Oryzias latipes: one gene and its partners. The main gene of each other region encodes a partner of the protein of the gene in region 2 in a complex. Links are inferred from orthologs where the notes say so. Each region holds a gene or a part of one and is shown on either strand. Other genes may lie near its edges.

What was found. Proteins that work in one complex are often made in the same cells at the same time.
Region 1: med25 (region 2) and med7 share a complex: the UniProt entries of both Homo sapiens proteins name them as parts of the mediator complex. The link is inferred for Oryzias latipes from reciprocal best matches to the Homo sapiens genes MED25 and MED7.
Region 3: med25 (region 2) and med12 share a complex: the UniProt entries of both Homo sapiens proteins name them as parts of the mediator complex. The link is inferred for Oryzias latipes from reciprocal best matches to the Homo sapiens genes MED25 and MED12.
Region 4: med25 (region 2) and mediator of RNA polymerase II transcription subunit 26 share a complex: the UniProt entries of both Homo sapiens proteins name them as parts of the mediator complex. The link is inferred for Oryzias latipes from reciprocal best matches to the Homo sapiens genes MED25 and MED26.

What each region holds. Positions count from the first base shown.
Region 1 is NC_019868.2:21,184,591-21,190,616, forward strand, and holds med7 (mediator of RNA polymerase II transcription subunit 7), read right to left. Parts: upstream 4,116-6,026; 5' UTR 4,000-4,115; intron 1,833-3,999; 5' UTR 1,824-1,832; coding exon 1,062-1,823; 3' UTR 783-1,061; downstream 1-782. Other genes in the region: itk (tyrosine-protein kinase ITK/TSK), read left to right, coding at 5,503-5,640, 5,722-5,826, 5,936-6,017. UniProt on the Homo sapiens protein: Component of the Mediator complex, a coactivator involved in the regulated transcription of nearly all RNA polymerase II-dependent genes.
Region 2 is NC_019866.2:3,604,448-3,610,576, forward strand, and holds the start of med25 (mediator of RNA polymerase II transcription subunit 25), read right to left. Parts: upstream 3,899-6,129; 5' UTR 3,753-3,898; intron 3,200-3,752; 5' UTR 3,191-3,199; coding exon 3,066-3,190; intron 2,983-3,065; coding exon 2,937-2,982; intron 2,843-2,936; coding exon 2,718-2,842; intron 2,625-2,717; coding exon 2,526-2,624; intron 1,494-2,525; coding exon 1,373-1,493; intron 1-1,372. UniProt on the Homo sapiens protein: Component of the Mediator complex, a coactivator involved in the regulated transcription of nearly all RNA polymerase II-dependent genes.
Region 3 is NC_019868.2:8,240,841-8,246,876, reverse strand, and holds the start of med12 (mediator of RNA polymerase II transcription subunit 12), read right to left. Parts: upstream 4,116-6,036; 5' UTR 4,059-4,115; coding exon 3,957-4,058; intron 3,253-3,956; coding exon 3,148-3,252; intron 3,058-3,147; coding exon 2,866-3,057; intron 524-2,865; coding exon 364-523; intron 266-363; coding exon 90-265; intron 1-89. UniProt on the Homo sapiens protein: Component of the Mediator complex, a coactivator involved in the regulated transcription of nearly all RNA polymerase II-dependent genes.
Region 4 is NC_019875.2:6,541,869-6,548,001, reverse strand, and holds the start of mediator of RNA polymerase II transcription subunit 26, read right to left. Parts: upstream 4,116-6,133; 5' UTR 3,830-4,115; coding exon 3,758-3,829; intron 1-3,757. UniProt on the Homo sapiens protein: Component of the Mediator complex, a coactivator involved in the regulated transcription of nearly all RNA polymerase II-dependent genes.

The DNA of each region.
Region 1 (6,026 bases), on a different chromosome or scaffold from region 2:
CCGAAGCATCCACTTGTAGACAACTAGATCTGTGTACGTCTTTGTTTTCCTTGTCTGAACTGGCATCTGACTGGAAACTGTACGGCTGGATTTGTTCCTTTATTGCTCACTGTTTTTGTTGCACTGGAAATGTTAGGTTGGTGATCTGAAGGGCTGTAAGTTAGCGGAAGAGTGTAGACAAACTGATGATGGGGAAATGAGGGCAGGCTTACACCACGCCACAACTTGGTGGCAAATTTCTGATGAACTACTGACACTCGACACTGTCCTAGAAAATGACAGTTTTTATTTTTATTTAGCCTAAAACCGGCATTACCGTAAATTAAAGATCACTGGGAACACTTTACAATAGATCAAAAGATGTTTGGAGTGGGACTTTAATGTTGTTGCCGTATCGTTCAGTCATTAAAGATCTAAGAAAATTTACCTTATAAGTTTTATTTTTACCCCATTTTCATTAACCTTTAAATCAAATGAAGCATAAATGTGATCAAATACATCCTAAGTATCATTTAAGAAATACCCCTGCTCCAGAAGTGACACAGGCGTATATGACATAACAGAAAGTGCAACTAAAGGCAACTTATTTGCATCCAAAGAGTGATCCTCTCTACTAAAGTAGAAATTATGTCAGAGCAACTTCCTGAAAAGCAACACACTTCTGTTTTTGAATGGAAAGGAGGAACCAAATATATAATAAATAGATCATGCTTACATTCCACAGTGGTGAGAAAACAGCAAGTGAACTGACAGGACTAGCAAACAAAGGAGAAACGTTTGCATAAATATGAACATGAGACTTTTATTTGCAGTTTTAAACATACCCAAATGAAAAATGTTTTTTTAGGTTTCTTGCAAAAACAAATACTGACACTACAATGTTTTAATACAGAATTTCAACTATCTAAATTATTTCCCATGTGCAGGAAAAAAAACTGAAAGACCGCCTTTAGATAAGTTAACATTAGAAGACTTCCTGTTCTTGTGAAAACACTGCAATTAGTCAAACAGAGAGCAATCAAACGATTTCTGGTTATAAAAGAGAGAAGAAAAACATACAGCTAAGCTAATTCATCAATTATACTACACATGGCAGCGTCTTTGTCCCATATTTTGTCCCTTTTTGAAGAAGGGATATTTTTCTCCTGGTTTCCTGCAACCATACAGCTGCCCCCCGCTTCCTCAACATCCATAGGTTCCATTTTCAGCCGAGGGGGCTGCCCAGACGAACAGGGGGCAGCAGCTGCTCCGGACGCACCCTTTGGCCCTTCAGAAACGTCTGGAATCTCCATCTGCAGCAGGTCGTCAGGCGCAGAAGCAAGACACCCTTGGATCATCTCCACGACTCTCTCCAGGTGTTTTTGGAATCTCTCCGCCGTCTCCAACCTCTGCCTCTTCTGCACCTCCATCATCACCCTCAGAGTCTCCCTGGCTTGGTGCGGCCTGTACTCGTTGATCAGATGATGCATGTGAACAAACAAAAGCTTTATGTCCTCCATCTTCTCTTCGCGTTTAATATTACCAGGACTTTTGATAAGGATGTCTAAAAGGTCCAGAAAGTTTACGAGAATGGACATGTTCAGCTTCTTGAGCTCCCGTTTGTGGTCAAACTGCATAGGATGCAGCCTCTCGATGCCTTGGCTCTCCAGAGGCCGAATAATAAGGTCGTCGCACTGAAACTGATTGCCAAACATCATGTAGCTGTCTCTGATGGGCGGAGGCGGCTTTGGCACCAGACCTTTGCGAATGTTTTCATCTGTATACTCCTTGATGTACTGCATGGGCGGTGGAGGCAGTGCGCTGACCTGCTGTGGTTCACCCATTTTGCAGACCTAAAAATTATAAAATAAATAGAACTACAAGTTAGAAAGAATCCAAACAACAAATACACAGTCATGCACCTGATAAGATCCCACTGTTGTGGCGAGTTCACGGGTCTCACTTATATGAAGTAAAACAATCTTTAATGACCCCCTCATATGTTCTGGGTGATGGCATCAGCTACCTCTTGCATAAACGCTTTCTCCAGTCAGTAAAGTCACAGTCATGATAGCACTTTGTCAAAACTATGCCTTTTTAATGTGCCAAAATAATAACTTTCAAGAAAAAATATCCTTATTTATTCATTTTCTAAACCCGTTTTTGTCCCTTTCAGGGTCACGGGGCTGCCGGAGCCTATCTCAGCAAAGGCAGGGGACATCATGGACAGTTCGCCAGTCTGTAGCAGAGCCACGTTCACACACCCATGCACACTCACACCTAGGGAGAATTTAGTAACCAATTAACTTATGAAGCTTGTTTTTGGACGGTGGGAGGGAGCTGGAGTCCCTGGAGAAAAACCAGGGGATCACGCAAACGCCACAGAGAAAGGTCCCCCAGTGGTGATTCTGTTTCAGGTCCCCCAGCTGGGACTTGAACTGGGGGCCTTCTTGCTGTGAGGCAAGAGCGACAACCAAGAAGAACATGCATCTGTGGAGCTTAAACATATACATGTTTTTAGGTTAGAGTAGATAAGTATTAAATGCAGATTAACCAACAGACACAGGAACAGATGTACAATGTTGACACTTAGCCTAATATTACTAGTTTTGTATATGCATCCACAAACGTTATAATTATTTTAACACGGTTTACTATAGTTTCTGTTACAGATACTTATTCAATAATACATTGTTTTACAATATATTTTTCAAAAGATTAAAGAAAATGTAGAGGAATTTTTAAGTGAAACATTTTTTTAAAATTGTGAGAAAAGACTTATACAGGTTTCCATAATCAGTTTTACAATACCAAAAATAATTAATCAATAAAGCCATTTCTAAATGCTGTGGAAAATGGCATAAAGATGTGACAGCTTCCATTGCATTATAGTTACCTGTGGGACAATTAAACAGATTTTTGATTGATTCCTAAACTTCTTTACATCCTCATGTTTTTTTAATTGAAACAAATTGTCTGTGCTACTTACCGGTAACTAAAAATCCAAATTATTATAATTCCTTTATCTATAAGAAAACAGTTTTTATTCAATTGAAACATGTTTAAATTTATATTATCTATCACTATCCCCCCTATCAGATTGTACTTGTTAAAGAATATGATTTTTTTCTGTGTGATTTAACACCATTTTTTCAAAATGCTTATTTGTTGTGCACATAACCTTATAATTGTTCTGCTATCAATTTAGCAAATACAACTGAATTAGTAGATTTTATATTCAAAATTAAAAAATAAATAAAAAAAAAACTGCAGAGTTTAAAAAAATGTTTAAAGAAAAGCCATCCTGATGTAAGAAGAGAACAAATGAGGGTCAAAAACAAGTCAAATTGTGGATTTTAGTAAAGAGAAGTGCATACATGCACATTCTATACATTAAAAAAAACACAGCTTTTACAAAATGCATATTTGTTGATGTCTGTTTTCAACACTTTGTATCATTGTTATTGAAGGAAAGAAAACAACATTCAAATCAGAGAAGGATATGTCATATGGTCGGTGCATGTTTTAACTTGAAGATTGCCACGATCAGAGTTTACCGTAGCCAAACGAGTCGTTAACCGCTCCAACCAATAAAAGTATTTTTTCCCACGCGTTTTTTTTAGGATTTTACACGTGCTCACAAGAAGTACAACAACAGATAATGTTCACACATCACATAGCTAAACCTGTTTTCTAAGTAAGAAGGCGGACAAGTCGACAACAGACACACACATGATCATCACGATTCATTTTGAGAACTATGTCAAAGTCAAACCTAACGTAACAAATCTCGAATTATTCCGCCGTAGTGCATTTAGATACCACATAAAAGCCCACGTATATACTAACTAACAGTAAAAGTTATTACAAAAACCTAATTAATAAAACCGCTCCGTTGATGTTTGGCTAACAACAAACGTCGTTTCCTGCATCTGCTGAATAATACAGTCTCTACAGTCAAAGAAACAGGTCTGTAACACGAATAAAAGGGTTACATTTATAACTGATTATTGTACAAACCTGTTTAACGACTCAATTGGTTGAGTTTAGATGAAAATTCTTCTAGCCAGTTAGCTCCTGACTAGCTTCGCTTTATTCATTTCCCGGTTGAGTTTCAGATGCCAGGATTGGACAGTGACCCGGAAACAAACTCGACGTTGATTGGTTGCGTCGACAAGCCTTTAAAGTATTTCATTATTAACCTTATAATTAGTGGGTTTTATTCAAAACTAATCTCTTTCCTGTATTAATTGTTTTAAACTTTTTGTTAGTTTTTGTTTGTTTAATATAGTGAGTTCAGGTTCTGATCCTGGTAGGCCTATAAATCTTAAAATATGTTCTTAAAATAAGCTGCTTAAGAAATCAAACCCAAGCAAAAAAAGTTCAGATCTGTAACCATAAAAAAGGGGGGGGAGGGGGACTCTAATTTTAAAAATGTATCTATCATTTGTTTTTACGCCCTAAATACAGTAGGGCAGGTGAAAGTGTCTAACTTTGAATTTTATGTTTCATTTTCTACTTAGTCAATTAGCAACACCTAATATTCATTCTTTTTCTTTTTTTTACACTTAAATAAAAATGGTCAAACTATTATAAGTAAGCTGACTTCATCTTGACCCTGACACTAAATAAGAATGACATGTAACATTTTATTTTATAAACGTTGTCATAGGCCTAGTGAATATTTAGCAGAGGGCAAAGGTTGTGCTTCGGAGTGTGCAAAACAAAACAAGAACATCGTATTTGAACCAAAATTGAAAAGAAAAATAAGAATCTTTCTAACCCCAAAGAAAACATAGCCTCATGAAAAGTACATCAAAGGTTCCATATTGTATTTGGATACATTTTTCTTAGAAACCAGACTTTTCTCTTTTGCTGTTTTCTGCATTTAGTGATTCATGAAACCTTGACATTCTTAGTGTTTGTAGGATATAACTTATCATGCATTTTACATTTTTAAAAATTGCATTTTTTTCATTTTTAAGTTTTCCTTCAGTAGTACTTTTTTACTACAATTTTGATACAAGCGGAGAGTTTCTTTTAAATGAAGAAAAAAGAAAATTTAAAAATTCCGAAAAAAAACCCCAGCTATGGCTTCTTAGGTATTGATTAACAGTGTTATTTTTGTTTTTAGCTTTTGATTTAATATGAAAATTTAAATTGTTTTCTAAAACATTTTTGTTTAACAACCAAGCAATTCTGACAAAAAGCTTACATTTTTATGCAAAATTTGATCAATAGTACATCAAAGGTTCATGTTAAAAAAAAAACCTTTATTGAGTTTAACACAACATACGTGATGATACGTGTGTGTATTTGTGTGCACATCAGTGTGTGATTGCTTGCACAGAGTGTTGCCACAAGGATGTGGTTTACTGCATGCAACTAACCCACGCCGGAAACTCTTCGGCATCTTCAATGTTTGCATTCTCCCTTTTTTTTCCCCCCTGCAGTCAGAGGCTTTCAGTTACTCCGTCCAATACCACCCAGTGTCTCCAGTGGTGTTATTCTCAACTGCTAACCATGTTTCCTCGGGTGATTTTGAAGGGAACCATGATCAAAAAATCTCAGCAAAAGAAGAGAACGTCACCGTGTAATTACAAAGAGAGATTTTTTGTTTTGGACACACAGGAGCTGAAGTATTCTGAGCGCCGTTCGGGGGTGAGTGCTTGTGTGCTTCATGGAATTGTCAAATTGAGCTTGACTGAACTGACAACTTTTGGAAATGGCACGATCTTGCAGAAGAAGCCCATGCTAAAAGGTTGCATTCAACTGTCCAGTATTAAGTGTGTGGAAATTGTGTGTAGTGACATCCCCATACCATGCCAATACAAGTACCCATTTCAGGTACCAGTCGCAGTTTTTTAACTTAAAAAATAATTTATTTCATTTTTAATTCAAAGGAATTTTGAAGATTTCTGTCTCATATTTTCTTTAAATCACAAATGCTTTGCAGGTTCTTCATGACAACTATTACCTCTACATTTTTGCTCCAGACAACGACTGTCGTATGAGATGGGTCAAAGCCCTCAAGGAGGGTAATTCAA
Region 2 (6,129 bases):
ATGAAGAATAATGTTTAGTCTTTATGTAACAAGTCCGAAAAGTCCTACATACATATTTAATAAACGAGTCTATTTGGCAAATTGTAACATTTATTTTTTATCCTTAGCTTCAGAATTATATTTCTAGAAGCCTAAATGTCCCGCAGTTTCTTTGCACATTTCCCTGTTTACATATTTCATCTTTTTTAATTTGTTAATTAGAAGGGGTTCATCTACTTAAATGATGAATACATTTTTTTTCTAGTCCAAAGAAATCGCTCCGTCTGAGGAAAGTTGCTAACGGAATCAACCGACAGCATTTTAAGACAGTTTCAAAATGAAATAAACCGATTTTATCGATAATGGAAAACGCCATTTGGGTTGAGGCGCAGTAGGTTGATGTGCATCACTGCAGACAACACACATGTGACGACGATCATTCCAGTCCAATGTGTGGAAACACTTTGAAATTACTAAAGTCATGTGACCAAACAGTGTCTAGAATGTTCTAATCTTGTTCCCTTTGGATTCTTTGGATGTGGAAAAACAACAGTCGGCTGAACTTTAGGAAACTCAAATGTGAATGGATTTGCCAATAATTCTTGTTTACTTGTTTGTTTGTACTCATATTTAATTGACACTTGATTATCTTGAATATTGACTAAATTGTTTCAGCAAATCCGCAAACTGAGAGGGCAGCTTGGGTTGTTTCTTTAGTTATTTGCTACTTTCACAACCGTTTTCTTTGCTGTCCACTTTTCTTCCCATTGGTTAATCAGCTTCATGAACTCGTACAAAATAAATTTATTTTACTTTGATTCTTTTTAGTTAAAAACAAAAACAAAAAAAAAACACACACAAAACAACGGAATGAACTGCGTCGCATTTATAAGACAGACCCTGTCAACCCATCGGCTCCTCAGAAAGCTTCAGTAGGAAAGTCGCCTCAACAATATTAGAAAGTTTTGCTTTCACAGCCTCATGGATGTGAAAGTCAGTGTAAAAATATTGTAATAGAATGACAGCAATTGAAATTGCATTGAGATTTTCTTCTTTTTGGTTTGTAGTTGTAAAATATTCTTAAAAGAATGCTGTTCAGACAGACTAAACAATTGGTTTGAATGAGAAGATATTAATTCCTATTCAAAAAAATCTATTTCAAATATAATATATTGTGACAATAATTGGAAAAACTGAAGATTTGAAAACAATTCTGGGGAGGGAAATCTTAGGACATCATCGCTTAGACTAGTTAGTTGGACGGTCAATTTGATGGACGGATTAATTCATTGAAAATTCCCCCTTAAATCTGAAATATTCCCATAATAAAAAAGGAGAAATGCCACAACTCATAGAACTGAACAAAATTAAAAACCACAGTAGAAAAACTCACATCTCTGATGATTTTGGCCAGGCTTTCCGCTGTGCATCCGGTGTAGCTGACGCTCTCCACAGCAGGAAGCAGATACGGAGGAGAATTACACAGAAGCACGCAGACCTTATGTGTTTGACCTCTGCAGTGACACACGCAGACAGAAACAAGAACAATGACTGTTAAAAATCCTTCACAGTATGTTTAGAATACTGTAAAAGTCAACATCAGACATTGGAAGTCTACGTTCTCCCCATTTACCGTGAAAAAAACTTGTTTAGACAAAACTTAAAAAGTAGTCAGTGATGTCTTAAGCAGGGATCTGCAACACGAGGCTCCAGAGCCAAACTGCTCCATTCTGGCTCTTTGGTTGTGATAAATATCGTAGCATTGATTTAAATGTAGTTTCTTAGATTTTTGGCTAAAATGCTCCTATAACAATAAAAAATGAAAACGGCCTTATGTTTCTCCCAGAATGCACACATTTCAAACACTCAGCAAATTACATGTGTTCTTAAAAACATTGTAATCCTTTAAGTATGTTTATTATTGGGATATACTTAAAACAAATTATGTTACGCTGCAAAATAATGTTTAATAACTGCCCAGAGGGGGAAAGAGAAAGACATGTATATACTTTTATACATGGCTCTCAGACCATGATATTTATCTTCAGGTTATATTACTAAGCTTGGAAAAGGGCGATGACACACCAAAGTAGACTTATATAAAACAAAAGAAAAAGCCTTTGTTGATTTACATTGTATAACATTTTCTTTGAAGTATATTTACGGCAGCAGATGTGTCTTTATTTTTTTAAAAGTGTCCACTTTTCTCAGGAGGAAAAAACAAATTCATGTGAATTGAATAAAATGCTATCATTTATTTTTTCCCTATTGTTTTTATTTAAGTCAAAATAGCTTAATTAATATATATATATCAAAAAAAGAAAGCAACAAATACAAAGGAGTTTTGAATTTTTCTAGAGGGTGAAACAAGACTTCGGAGCTGCTGCTGTTTTTGTCAATGGGAAACTGGCCTGAATGGCTTTTTTAGTGTTAAAGGTTGCAGACCCTGGTTTAAACAAAAGTTAGGGAGCTAAAATGTACTTTAACTTTTATTTTAATAAACACAGAACAATGTTTTAAACATCTTAGACGAAATGATACCTTACATTTGCTCCCTCATTTTTTTAAAGTCGTCAAAGAGCTGCAAGGCCACAGAAAGGCCTTCTGCAATCAGGCTGCAGCTTTCTGCTCCACCACCCATGAACCTGCAGGAAAACACCCATCACATCTTTCAAGAAATTCATGGGAGTTTTAGACAAGATCCCTATCTGCTTTTTTAATAAATGTAGCCAAGTTACTGGATGCTGTCGATCCATGAAACAAACTCGTAGGCAGAGCTGGTTGGTGCGTGACACTGAACGTAGGATTCAGGAGCACAGTCCACTGTGTTGAACACCACCAGACCATACTGTGTTCCACCATACTAGGAAGAAAAACAGATGTCACTTATTATTACAAAACGGGACTAAAATAGTTTAAAAAACTGAAATACTAACAAAAACAGAAATTACACTCACGTCTCCACCAAAATCTGTTTCTGCTGGGGGCCCTCCATTAAAATATCTAGAAAAAAAGAAATAAGATATTTACTGTTTTAATGTATGAGCAGCTCACTCTGTAAAGTCTGCACATCTTCTGCTTCTTACTCAATAGCTGGAAGGATGTAGTTTTTTCTCAGTGATTCAAAGTACGGTCCCAGGTTTGCCGTCCCTTCGATGACAAAAACCACATCGGCCACCTGGTTGGAGCCAGGTTTACTGGGCGGCTCCATGTCCACAACCTGGACGTGTGGGAGACACGGGAAAAGGGGAAATAAGGGTGGTATCATGGAGCAAAACACACAAAATACTTTATTTTCCTCTACAGGCGGTACTTGGTGAAATATTAATATATAAACATGTGTGATGATTATTTCAATGAAATTCAAGCTTTGAAATGTCACAATTAATGGATTCTCTAACCATCAGACAGAGTGAGCATCTAAAATGTTTCTCTTCATCACATCTTCATTATGTGTTAACTTGAAATAAAACGTCATGATTTGGCATATTGTAAACAATTTAAAAACGGAGAGCAGGAACAAACAAACAAAGCCGTGTGTGTGTACCGTTTGTTTAAAATGTCTCTCTAGCTTAAAACATGACAACGAATAATCTAACAATTCAACTATGATTATTATTAATTACGCGTTTATGTAACTGAGGCAGTTTATGAAAAGGAAACCACCGGCTGTAAACATTAGCCGGCTTAGCAAGCATGGAAAAAAGACTAAATAAATAATACGACTGGAAAAGCCTTTACTGTAATTCAAGAAGAAATGAGACACAACTAACCTGATAGTGAACACCTATTATTCCTTAAATATGAGATTTACTAAACCGAAATATAGGCAGTTGTTTACAAAAAAAAATTAAACCATAGCACAAAACCGCATATACGTTTGTTTTATTTTACAAGGAAGTGACGCAATGAAAATTCAATGGAGACGCTTCCTCTTCGTTGAATATAATGTGCAGATAGGATGTCTCTGAGCGCACTGCTGCCCCCTAGCGTTGAGTCATTCCTAGTGAAACAGCACTGTGGTAATAAATAAATAAAATATAAATAAATTAATAATAATAATAGTAATAATAATAAAATGAAAATCCCATGTAAAAGAGACCAAATTGCGCTTTATTTTCAATCATTTGGTAACAACGAGGTGTTGCTGAAATAACTGGTAAAAACAATAAAGTTCTTTTTTGGCGTAATAATAAGAGAAGCTATTTGTTAATAGATTTTAAAGTTATTATTCCAGATTTTTATTTTAGGTAATGTGTAAGTCAAACCAGTAAAGTCCTCTATGTTCATTTTCACCATATATCAGTGATAAATGAGATTTTTGAAGTCATAACCATTTTAATGTCTTTTCAACAGCAGGTAACTATGAAGTTCACTATAATGCGAATAAAACCTTTAGATTCAGATTAGCCAGCTACATACATTTAAGCTTCAATTGGACCAATTAATGCTTAGAGTTTTCAGCTCTGAATTCAGTTCAAACCTTATAACCAAATGCATTTCAATAAAGTGGTTACCTTTTGGAATAGTCAGAAGAAATATGTGCTTCTGGATGAGCCTAAAACAATAAAAACATTGGAGGCAGAATGAGCAGAGGACCAACAGGAAGTTCCAAAATTAATTAATTTTGATGTTTTCCAATTAATTAACTGCATTGTGAAATAATAGGTACAATCTGTCTTCAGAATTATGAAAAACAAACAGTTGTTTTTCACATTTGTTGAGGATTTTATTTCAGATGTGAAACAGAGCCGGATGCAGAAAAAATCCAGATGTTGATGATCCACATCTCCAGGAGATGTCAGCAGATCTCCACAGTGCAAAGAGAGAAGACATCAGAATTACAGTGGAGAAGATGCAAGCGTGCATTTGATACTAGCTCTAATGATGTCTGCAAAAGAAAATTCAGATTTTTTGTTTGTTTTTGTTTTTGCATCTTGTTTAAATATGTAAATTTACAGGCCAAACTTGGTGTTCTGCTCCACACGCTTTTGAGCTTTTGTTATACAGATTTTTTCTTTTTTCAAAAGTGTAATTTGATTTTGGTTACTTAACAAAAAAAGGAGTTTATTTACACCAAGCTTGATTAATGTTGTTAAAAAGTGAGCTCAGGCAGACAAGAAACAGGCCTGTAGAAAAATGCCAGACATTTAAGGATAAAACTTATTCCTGCCCATGTGTTTTTGTACCGAGAAAGGTAAAATTTAATGACCTGTTTGTGGTAGAACTTGTGTCTTTAACACATTGATGTAGTTTGTGTGGTCGGTTTAATGGCTTCCGCTCCCTTGTGACAAAAGCCAGTAAGCTGAACGTTCAGCTTAGAGGCTTCAGAGCTCATCAAACTCAAAACCCTCCCACAGACACAATGATCCATATCAATTCAGCCCAAATTCTGAGAAGGAAAACAAGCTGTGCGCCCAAGCAGCTTCGCCTTTTGGGTGTCAAAAAGCAGGGCTGCTTATGGCGGCTTAAGTAAAGTTGATCTGGAGAGGGTTTAAGCCCGTGGCTATCCACGACCTGCAAACATTTAGCTCCCCACGGATCTTTTATCCTGACAGTGAAACATGGCCAAATTAAAGTGGCAGGAAGGATTGCATGCACAGGAAGCTCTTTACTTTGCAGCTCTGATGCTTTTCTTGGAGACATTTTGTGCTTATTGTTGTCTTAAACTTTAGCACACACATGGCAAGCAGTTGCCAAGCAATTACAGAGCGCCGGCTCTCTGGGTGTGCCTTTAGAAAGACACACACTGCTTCCTTTTTTCCCCGTTGTTGGTCAGAAATCAATAATCTGAATGCAGAAATGTGGTTCTTTAAAACTCCACGTCTGCAGGCGGCTTTGATAAGACAATCTGTCTCCTGACCATTTTACCTGACCTACTGGGACTCTGGGCCAGATGGTCTTCTCACAACAGGTAATCACAGGCTGCTTGCTGATGCACTTTGATCCGCACAAATGGGTAAGCACAACAAAGCACACCTTTTGGGAACCGTAAGCCCCACTGCCATCAGCAGCAGCTGTTTTTCTAATTTATACGACATTTTTTCCCCGTTATTTATATGAAATTCCTAAAATCCCTGCCCAAGTCTTTCTTTGTGTGTAAAACACCCTTCAGAATAAAAGCACAACAACAATATAACAAAAGTATGA
Region 3 (6,036 bases), on a different chromosome or scaffold from region 2:
GTTCAAACAATTGATTATTTGTGCAGCAAATAACCACTGTTAACACTCAGCTGCTGCTGCGAGTAACAAAGAAATGGCAGCGAGCTAACCTGAAACATGAACATAGCTAGCTTTTCGTTGTACTCCCACTGCTTCATGGCCGTCTCCACGTCTGCAGGCGTGGCTGGTGGAGGAGAGCTGCAGCCCTGACTGGGACACTGTCTGTAAAACTCCGCCACCTTCTGAAGCTGCTCCCAAAGATACTTGGTTATGATCTGAGTCCATTCTGCAGACAAACAAATGAGGAAAGGATGTCAGAAGTCGCCAAAATGAAACATCGATGAAAAATAGGTTTGATTGAAACTGAGTGGAAAGATTTCATACCTATACAAGGATCGATCACATGCCTCTTCTTGACTTTAGTTTCGGTGATAGCTGCATGATATGCACATGTCATCTTGATCATCCATGCTGAGCGCATCACAGGGACTGAGTACTTGGCCAAATATGCAAAAACTTCCTCCTTTTTGCTAAAGATGGGTACCTAGGGGATAAACTTCATCATCAGTAAAACTGATTGAAAAACTGCTGAATAAACATGACCCAAAAAGTGAAAGTGGGCAACAAGTCAAATCATAATTTGATGCCATTTCTAATCATTACAAGTTGATCTCTATGTTTGACATAATCAATCACATATTCAAACTTTAAACTACTGATCTGTTTATGTATTACTGTCATTTTAGGCATGTTTTCTGTAAGACTAAGTATTTACAAATGCAGTACTACCTCCATAAAACATTAAAAGCTACTCAAAAGCTTCACAACAACTAACTAGATCTATAAGTTTGAGAGATTAAACTTTATGAAAAACTAATTGGAAGACACTTTGAAAGCAATTCATCTAACTTATCTGCAGTGAGGGCTACGATTAAAATGAAACAGTATGAATCATCAGCCCAAAGGCCAAAACCAGGAAAGGTCTGCACACAGACTGCTGGCAATAAAGTAGAACTCCATTTAAATTAACAGATACCCCAGGAGAAATGGCTCCATGGGTTTCAAAATAAACCTTTTTGACTGGCTGCACAAATTACATTTAATTGTGTAAAACCCAAATACAGGTTAAGGAGATAGACATGTGGCTGTCCACACAACAGCTGAAATTCACTTTATCTAAATAAAATAAACTATAACAAGATCTGATCAATTATAGCAGCACAAATGCCAAAACTGACCAGCCAAGAAAAAAAAGAAGACAAAATTCACATTTATTTTTGCATTTTTGCAAAACTTTTGTATTGACTTTACCTATAAATAAACCTGGCTTAAATATCCTATATGCTCACAGCTAGCCTACATTGGCCCAGACTGGGACTGTAATAATAAATGTACAGGCCAGCAGAAAACACATCAATTGAGAAATACAGCTTTTTCATAAACAATGGAACAAAATAATGTCTGGTAAATTACAATGATGCAAAATAGAGCAGCCGTTTGACTAGATTTCTGTGTTTGAGTTAGAAGACATCAATGTGATTTTCTTTATTGGACGACATCAAGCTGCTGTTCCATTTATGCTGTTTTTGTCAAAGTTCAGTTTGAGCATCATAGAGATGAATTGTAAGGGTACAAATACTCAAGACACTTTAACATCCGGTACCTGCTACAAATATCATTAATTCTACTAGTTTATAAAAAGTGTGAAAGATATTCTGTTTCTTTTCACTGACAGTTTAAAGACCCACTTCAACCTTTTTTTGATCCATTTTCAAAGCGTTCCCAGAGGTCTCGTAACCCTTGTGCTATCTTAGGCACTTTAACATTGGGAGTTGGGTCATCCAGACCCACTAGACCAGGGGTGGGCAATTCCAGGCCTCGAGGGCCGGTGTTTCTGCATGATTTCCAGATAGTCTTGCCCTACTCATGGCTGATTACCTGCTTCAGGTGTGTCCAGCCAATAATCTTGCCCTACTCGTGGCTGATTACCTGGTTAAGGTGTGTCCAGCCAATCAGAACATGCCAGAGCAGGGTATGCTGGAAAACATGCAGGAATGCGGCCCTCAGTGCCCACCTCTGCACTAGACAGTGCTCTGAACCTTTTTTCTTCAATGATTTGTGATGTTCACTGGTGTCCATGGATTACATGAAATCTTTCCACCTTTATCCACTTTTGTAATGGTAGGGAGAACACGTCAATGTAAAGATCGGGTCATCTGGACCCCATAGGACAGCACAAGGGTTATGCTGTTTTTAGCCAAAATCAAAAACCTGTCTCGTTTTTTAGGACATCGTTTCTGCAGAGCAGCTGGAGTTCATCAGTATTCTCCTCTGAGTTGTGGGCAGGACTGTTGACGTGGAGTGATCACACCCCAATTTCGGTTACTCCTCTGTTTACATGCTCCCCTTTAACTTACAGCTCCTCACACCCCCAACCTAAAATTAGCAGCGATACTAAAATGGCGAGCAACATTGGCGGTATCCAGCCGTACAGTTTTGATCCAGATTTCAGCCCAGACGAGGAAAACAAAGACGTACATGGATCTATTTGCCTGTGAGTGCATGTATCAGAATGGAGCAGAGCAGGGGGCTCATCGTATTTTTCTATGTCCAACTACAATCTCTTTTCAAAAAGCATTTTTTTCTCCTGCTCCTCATTCACAACAATTTAAAAAAGAGAAATGCTCTTTTAGGCTTAATTTTCTTAAAAAATGTCCATCATGACAAAAATGCCACAAGAACCTGTTAAAAATACTATTTTCATCTGAGTGCATCTTTAACAAACTGAAGATTTCCGTACGTGAACTGAGAACAAAAACAGTAAACAGGAAAACAAAGTACACAACAATACTCAGTGATCCCAGGATTCATCCACAGGACTTTTACCTTTTTAGCCAGCTGGGTCAGAGGTTTAGTACCACCTAAATCTGTAAACCAGCTATTGATGGAGCTCTGCGACCTTGCTGTGACGAGCCAGAAATTATCCTTTTGGTTAACCTGCGGTTTACGTTTCCCTGTATCGGGAAAACTGTTGAAGCGCAGCTTCTCTGCGATGATGCTGCTAAAGTTGGAACTGATCTGCAAACACATGAGCACATGCATTAAAAAAAAAAACTAACTGGCATTTAGGACAAAATCTGCCAATAATAATTAATAAATGAATGGTACCTTTGCGGGATTGAAGTTGACATTTTTGGCAGAGCCGTGCTCGTCACTAGACACAGCTGGCTGGTTGTTGAAGCCCTGCTTCACATTGAGGGCAGTCAACTCATCCTGAAACAAAAACACACATGTAGGAGGTCAATACTACAAGATGTGCTAAAGCTCCATTCCTCAGCAATCACTGGCGTTCTGAGCAAGCAGGAAATGTGCTCGACTGGCTGTGCTGACAACACAAAAACTGATCATTCCCCTGAGAATTCAGAAAAAGGTGGGCCGAGAAATAAAGCTTTACCACTGACACCCCAAACTATACCTGCTACATATATAAGAACAAAGGAATGTACCATTATCACACAGGGTAGAGTCGAAATTAAACTACGATAAGGATGCATTAAACATTCCTAAAAAAAATATAATAATAATAATAAAAAGGATAGTTAACAGGTTAACGCCATTTTTGTGGAGCAAAACATTTAAATATGCGAGTCTTTCGGAGATATGAACCCCCTTCTGTTTGACGGAAATACAAACTTCTGTTTGATATTCAGTGGCATAGCTGCTGTTAGCTTAGCTAGCTCTGTTATTTAACGAGGGGTTTGTTTTCCAGTTAAGTGCGGAGCTGCTAATAAGCTGACAGCCGGGAGCTGCTTATTGTTGCTCCAAGGCCCTTCGCTTATACAGCGCTGCTATAAAACGCTAGCTGTGTGTTAGCCCCCTACAGCTTCCCTGTCGAGAGAATTCTCCCCCACCAACAAACACAATTCCAACAAACACAATTCCAATCCAAGAGAGGCTCGAATGAAAGTTGACTGCACCTCTTTTTGCTTTGGATCTTGGGGATAAACGTCCGGAGGACCGAGGCGGGGCCGCTTTAATGGCCGGTGTTCGTAACTTAAGATCCCGAAAGCAGCCATCATCTAAGGGCATCACAGCCAAAGCTTTCCGCCTCCTAAACAGCAGTCTCTGGGCTGAATGTAAGAGCGACACTCGCTTCCGGCTGCCTCTCATTCTGCCACTTCAAAATAAAAGTTTCAGATTGTGCGCCGCTTCAAAGAAAAGCTCTTATTTTGTTCCCTTTCGTTAAGTGTCGTTTAAACCTTTTTTGTCTTTAAAAAACTTTGTTATGAACTAGATACAGGACAATAGGCGAAAGTAAACATAACACGTACTGTACAACCTGCACATCAACAATCATTACAATCTTGTTAAAAAGAATTGAAAAATGTGCCATTCCTTCAAGATCTGCATATTTTACATTTGTTCCACTGTTGTGATTATTTTAAAGTCAAGAATGAAAACATTAAAACAAGATTTTGAAATGGACCATTTATATTTGTGAGTGTGGGATTAAACAATAAATTATAAACAGTTGAATAACAAAAATTACAGTTTTGGGCAAACCATGTATTCAAAATAAAACATGAAATCAACAATACTAATTTGGACGTTTACATTCAATTCTGTGACTATAAATTCTTTCAAATCTGATCCAGTTATGTAGACTACATGCAATACTAAACTAAATTTTAAAAGTGGTCTCCTTACTTGATTAGCTAAACACACGTGTTTTAGGTAAAAATAAGAAATACCCTTTCCCTATTTTAAATCTTTTTTGTCTATCTTTACTGGAAAAATTTGATAAAAAATGTTAAATGAAACTTTTTTTCTTTTTTATTTTTAATACAATATTGAATCACTCAAGATTGGATACCAAATAATCTTTGCACCAGAAGTCAAACAAGAAATTTGATTTCTAATATATCTATTGGTGCATCCTTTCCTCGTAATGTCCACATCTCCACTAAAAGTGTCATCAAATTCAGCACTGGCCTATTTTCTTTGCATTAGACATTTTTAGAAATTGAAGAAAACCTGCAGGGATCACATCAGAAACAACTGCATACTCTAAAAGTGTCACTGGAAAGCTAAAGTTTTAAAGAAATTATCAATATGACAAGAAAACTATTTGTTCAGGTACTGACCCACCAACTGATCAAATGTTGTTCAAGTATTTTGATGGAACTTTTCAACACATATTTGTAGAGTTGAAAACAAAATCAAGGTATATTGTTTTCTTAACAATACAAAATAATAATAATAAATGTAACTGTGTTGAATGAAACGGCCTATGACCAAGCTTTAGTGATGTTACTTCAGTAGAAGTACAAAAACAAATTAACCAAAAATCTATTTAGAAAGCAAAAGTTACTCAGCTAAACGTAATCTATTTAGGTGTGCACTTATACTTAATCTATACTAAAAGTGAGACAGCATACTTTTGGTTTACTTATTATCAACTGTCTACACAGTACATACTGTAAATTTAAAATGTTCCAATTTAGTATGACGTGTTCAATTAGTATACTTCCTGCACTACATGTACATGCTCTTTAGTAAACCTGCTCTAAGTATAGTTAAACTCAGGAATACCTAATAAAAAAAACTTTAAGTAAAAGGGAAATTCCTTCGACAATAGTAATAATTTGACCATATCTGGTTCATAGACTGATATTAAAATTTAAATCTAAATTACCCAAACCCCCTCCTCTGGTTATTAGTGGCAACAAAAAGTATTTTACCAGTAATTTAATCATATAAAGCAAAAAAGTATACTTTTAGATTATTTTTCATCATCTGAAACATATTTTCAAACCCATTGTGGCCACTATCAGTGATTCAACATATTAAAGTTATTTTGATTTTTTTTATGCTGTAACCCTAATGTGAACTTAATTTTATTAACTGGCATTTTGTGTTTGTTTTTTCATTTTTACTGTCATTTGTTTGCAGCAGGGAACTCTAATGATAGAGAAAACATGAGGTGAAAAATCAAAGCCAAATGCTTTTATTGTCAAGTAAGGCAATGAGTACTAATGACGTCCACCATCTTTTCCT
Region 4 (6,133 bases), on a different chromosome or scaffold from region 2:
AGAGTTTCTCAGGTCTTTGAGCAGCATTCCCTCCTCCTGCGCTTCGAAGCTTTGTGTCCAGGCTAGCGGGCCGGTTTAGTTCCGTCCAAAGAGCAAGTCCAAGGGAGAAGCTTCGAACCGTGCGGCAGCGGCTTTCCGAAGGAGGCTGTGGTCCCAAACTCCAGACCACATAAGGTGGAAATGCTGCTATGTAGTCCTGAGAAGCTGTGTACAATCATCAGGAGAGCACAAACATCACAAAGCCCTCTCCCCTGTCGCCAACACAAAGCTGCTCCTAGCATGTGTCTCTTAGCATCCGGACACACATAGATAGCACTGACGTCATCGCCCCGCCTCCCCTCTGGAAACGCTAAGTCGAATTGAATTATGCGACAATGTTCGCAGGGTGGATGTTAAAATGAAAATGCAATCCCGTCTCTGCATTTTCATTTTAATTATGACACAGAATAAGCAGTTTTAAGTAGAAATGAAAAAGCATTTTGGTGGATTGATTTTTCATTTGAATTTTGAGTCAAAAAAATGCAGCTTAATTTGTAAAATTAAAAAGCATTTCTGGTTTTGATTATGCTACAGAAATTCTTTGCTAGCATCCTCGTCTCCTCAGTATCCGCCCTGCAGCATGAACCGCCGTACCACAATAAGTAAAAAGTTTGTTACTGATGTTCAAACCTGGTAATCGACAAGTTTTAATAAGTTAACCGTCCCAATAGGGATTGTAAAGTGCAGCGCGTTTGTCTTTCTCCTTGCCCCGCCCTTGTAGGACCTGACCAATGACAGAAGAGATCTTTAGTCACATGGTTTTGTTAACAAACAGGATACTCTGCTTGATGCCAGTTTGAATACAGACCAAAAGCTAGATTCAGGACTCGATCCAGGAACAAAACAAGAGAACTCGATCCGGGAAAAATTAACCTCCTCCACCTGGGGCAGGAGCACCCCACCCACCCAGAGAGGACAAAGTACTCCTAAAAGGCTGTATTTTATAAATGTAATAACAGACCTGATTCCACTGTTAACCTTTTTAGCAGCATCTTTTTAGCATCATGGAGTGATGCTGGTGTTGTGCTTAAGGGGCTTTTCCCACTTTTACTGACGTCACAATATGAGGAGCCACTCGATTGGGTGGATTGGGAGCAGCTGGTACTCAGAGAGCAGGTTTTTGAAATGCGTGAACGGAACAAAATACCGCTTTTGAGGTGTTTTTCGTAAAGAATTAAAATTATAATACACTTCAAAGCTCAAAAAGGTTGATTTTTTTGCATGATAAAGAATACAGAGTTACACAAAAAAACATTTTCCGTTTACTTAGAAAAGTTTCGCTTTTTAAAGGATAAGTTAGCCCTGAAAGTAATACCTACGTTACAATAATACTTGAAACTTGTTGATTGCCAGCATAAAGCGGTGCTGAAACACACCACAGTACCAAACCTTCCTGAGCTTTTAGTTAAACACAACTGTATTGGGGTTTGGCTACAAAAATGACCAAAAAATCAATGAAGAAAAACCATGACAATGAAAATTTTGGATAGTATGTTGCATGTTGTGCATGTTTATGCACACAAACACATCCTAGTAATTTCACTATATCTCAATGCCACACATAAATTGGTCACTACACATGAAATTCTTCTTTAGAGGAATAAGAATTGCTGTAAACTTAAAAGTTGAGCCTCACAGTCCAAAATCTCTTAATCATCCAGACAAGATTATAGTGAATTCCTTTAATTTCTCGACCTGACTCAAGTTAATATTAAACTTTTAGGGACAGAATTGTTTAGACTGGTAAATGTAGCACCTCTAAAAAGCTGGAGTGCCTCGTTTTCTGCCTCTATTTTAAATGACAGTTTTGCTAAATCGACAACAGTTCCCCTGTGGCCTGACAGGGTTAGGGGGTCGCTGGGTAACTTTTACTGTTGTGTTGGTGAATCTCAGGGCTAAGCTAACAGCTAGCATGCTAAGGGACTGCCATGACTAACCGAGGCTAAGCTAATGGAGGTGTAGCTCGCCGTGTAGCTCTATCTATTCTCCAGAGGCACGCGCCTCTCTGTCAGGGTCAGTGGCGGTTCTACCCTGAATTACTCCCCGGGCGAGACCCTCCCCAGGCGCCCCCCCCCCCCCCCCCCCCCCCCCCCATGGTCAAAACAGAACTATGTCTTTGTCAACTAACATGTTTTCCGACATGCTCATGTTTTCCGTCTTCAATCCTTTGATTGGCACATTTTTAGTTATGACCTGTTACATTATGTTTTGTCCCCATAGAGTTGCAGTAAATGGTAAATATTCATTTTTAAAACTACCTACAGATTTATGGAAATTCTATTGGCTAAAAATATAACCCAACATTTGTAAAACAAATAAAAAATAAACTTCATATGCTGGCTCAAAATTAACCCCTAAATCCCCAGTTAAATGTCAAAAACACATTGTGAAAACGTTTAGGCTGCCACAAATGATTATTAAATTAATGACCAATCTCAAATTATTTGCCCCATTAGCATCTTATGGCAGCAGCAGCATGCTGTGTAACCATCACAGCTTTTTTAACATTATGAACTAGTATACAACAGCAAAACACAACAAAACCGTTGTGTTACAGCACAGCAGACAGACACATGAATCATAACTAATGTTACAAGTTAAGGCAGAGCAAATTTTTAAGAATAAAATCTAAAAAATCAATAAAAAATGACGCTATTTGCAACATTTGGGCTTGATAGAACGGGCTTGATGCATGTTTTAGAAAAAACATGCATCAAGCTTTGAGGGCTTCCCCTTTTCTTTATCTCTTTTCTCCTCTTCTTCTTTTCTTTTCTTTCTAAATTGGGCACCAGATGGCTTTGACCTTTTCTTCTCCATATTTTAGATGTTTTTGGCGATTGTTTGGCATAAATGTCCTCACGTCACGAAGAAGGCATCAAGTCCGTCGACTGAACCAACTGTCACCTTAGTGACAGCATTGTTTTGTGTTGCCATTTTTTCATTTGGGCATTTCACATAAAATTAACCCAAAAAAGAAGAATATATTTTTTATACCTTTATTAAAATGTAGGTTATAGAATGTCACCTTATGACTGACTTATAAAAAGGTTTTATAAAGTAGATTCAAACCCCCGCCCTTGTCCCCACCTAGCCTCTTAATTTGGAAGCGTCCCACAATTGAACTGATTCCCCGCAGCCCCCCCCCCCCCCTTTCTTCACACATTTTCAGCAGGAGCGCGTGCAGCTACAGCCAGGGGCGCTGATTCGCTACATTACTTTTATTTTTTTTATCAAGCCCGCGACCGTCGCCTCCTCTGAAAGATGAGCCAGCCAGGGTTTGCGCATGCGCAAACGCGGCGGCGCTCCGTGCTCACCCCGCGCCCCTTCCCTTCTCCTTCTTCACACACATTTGTGTCTACTTCTCAAAGACAGGAGAGCGCAGCTGCGGGGCGGCGGCGCGGCCAGGTTCAGGCTGTTACAAACTCACAAACTGTGACATAAGAAAACCAATAGTGGTGCATATAATATTTTACAAGGGCTGAGCTGCCGGTGCCGCCCCCTTCAGTTTTCCGCCCCAGGCCACCGCCCGGACGGCCCGTGCCTAGAACCGCTACTGGTCAGGGTTTTTGAAAAGTCATCTTCAACTATACTGTGACAGAAACGTTTTCCTTCAAAGTAGCACAACACGTCAAGCGTAAGCAGACGTGTTAACGTACGGAGCGTGTAGGTAAACAAGCTAACACTGGCCGGGTAGCCTGTTAGCAGGAGGAGCACTCACATTGCTCTGACTGTCGATGGCCTGGAGCAGCCGGTCCCTTATCTGCTGCGGGGTTGTGGATACCGTGGTCATTGCCTGTTTGATGCGATCCGGATGATGGAGGGAGGAATCCTCCAAAATGAAAACCGGATGACAACGATGACTTCTTGACTGCTTCACGAACACGATATGCACCCGAACCGCATGTTTCCCGGAGCTTGGAAGGTAAAAGGTTCGCTTTCCTCACATGGAGCTGGAAATGTGTGAGCGGGTTTGACCGTTTGTTCCAGTCTGACAACGGGCTCCCACAGCTCACTCCGAGGTGCTGGATCTCTCTTGGCCTCCTGTTGCATGCTGGGATACGATGCCTGCGTCATGACGTAGGCACGCGACAGAGGACACAGAGTTGACAGTTTCTCTCCACAGAGTTTTTTTTATATAACTGAAATGTTGCCTGTTCCTTAAATAAATAAAAATTATATATATCGGTCCTGCACTTAACCAACATGTGTGTGTAAATATACATAGATGAAGGAGCGATAGCTGTGTCCTAGATTTTTTATTTTTCCATATATAACACAGAATCATTTGTTTTATAATTTTGAACCAACCGTCGGGAGGTGGCAGGGGCATATTTTGGAAAATATACAGCAGTTTTGGTAAAATGTTCATTTTGTAGACATTAGATCAGTGATGTAGGAAGCTGCATTCATCTATTAATACTGTCATTTATTTCTTTTGTTATGGAATCATTATTGTTTTGAACTGTTAGTGCTATGTTTGGAAAAATGTTTATACCTAAATATTTAAATGAGTGGACTGATTTAAAATGCATTATTACTGCTGGTGGCCTTTCTCTTTGATTCTCGTTCAGCAGTAAAATGGACGATTTAGATTTATTTATGGTGTAGCTGGATATGTAACCACACTCTTCAATTAATTGCAGACGAGCAGATATAGATGAGTCTAAGTTGGAGAGATGTAAAATAATCTATACCAATCTACCTAGGCTGTGTCCCACCAAAGTGGGGTAGCCTTGACAGGGCACCCATTCTTACCGCCCTCCTTCTCTTCCCCAAACCCTCCTCCTTCAGTGTGTGCGTGTGTGCGCGTGTGTGTGTATGTGACCGGTCTAAGGCCTGGTCTAAGCCACACCACACTGCACCAGGGTCAGCTGCACAGCCCAGTGTGGGCACCTCCACAGCAGGGCCTCAGCCGAGGCTGGTTTCCCCTTGCCGCTTCATCCCAAGACCAGACCTCTACCACACCCATCCATTCATTCATACACAAACTCTCTCCACCCATCCCTGTCCTGAGCAGCCTCTCTCCCATGCACCACAGTCATCCCTCTTGCATTCAGCGCTCTTTTTACACCCTCTGTCCATCCCATTCGCGGTCTTCCTCTCATTCTCACTCCACTCACATCAGATTCGTACACATGTAAAATAATATCAATATAAAACAATATCAATGACAATCTATGTTCTACGTGATTAATCGTAATACCAGAGATGGTTGGATGAGCACGTACTGCTATGGCAAGTGGCTCTATTGCTAGAGTGAACAGCAGAGGTGACAAAGGGCATCCCTGCCGACACCCACGTTTAATTTAATAGGAGCAGAGATATTTTTGTTTGTTAAAATGTCAGCAATTGAGCATAAAGTTCAGCATAAAGATTGCAGAATAAGTTTTTAAATTCAGTATTTATTTCCTTTGGGTGCACAGGGTTGTCCCATTTTTGTTAATTATTGAAGTTATGTTCTTTTGGGCCTCCGTTTGTTTAATTTGCCAGGCTAAGATCTTTCCAGGTTTGTCTCCTTGCTCATAGAGAGTTTGATTGAGGCTGCACGATCTGTTGATTCCTTATTATACTCAGCTCCCAGCATTTCTAATTCTTTTTCAGCTTGCTGATCTTTATTTTTACACACTTTCTCCTCAGCTGTTGTTGTTCTATCTTCTAATTGTATTCTTTTTTGCGCAATTCTCTTGATTTTGATGAAGTAAAGGAAATTATATGCCCTCTTAAAAAAAAGCTTTAAATGCCTACCATCTTACACTGGCTGAAGTTTGAGTAGTGTTCATGGTAAAATATTAATCTATTTTATTCCCTACAAATTCAACAACATGTTCATTCTTAAGCCATTTTCGATGCAGACACCACCTGGGTGGATGCATTTTGAGATTAATATGCAAGTACAAAATGCTACATGGTCCGAGATTGTTATACTGTCAAAAAACATTGTTTTATATTGGATAGTAACTCTGCTGAAATTAAAAAGTAATCTATGTGAGAGTATGAGCCATAAGTTTTAGAATAACAAGAATACTCAATATCTTTGGGTCTTGTGTGTCGCCACATATCTGCCATTTTTAATTCCTTCATGAAATTCTGTACA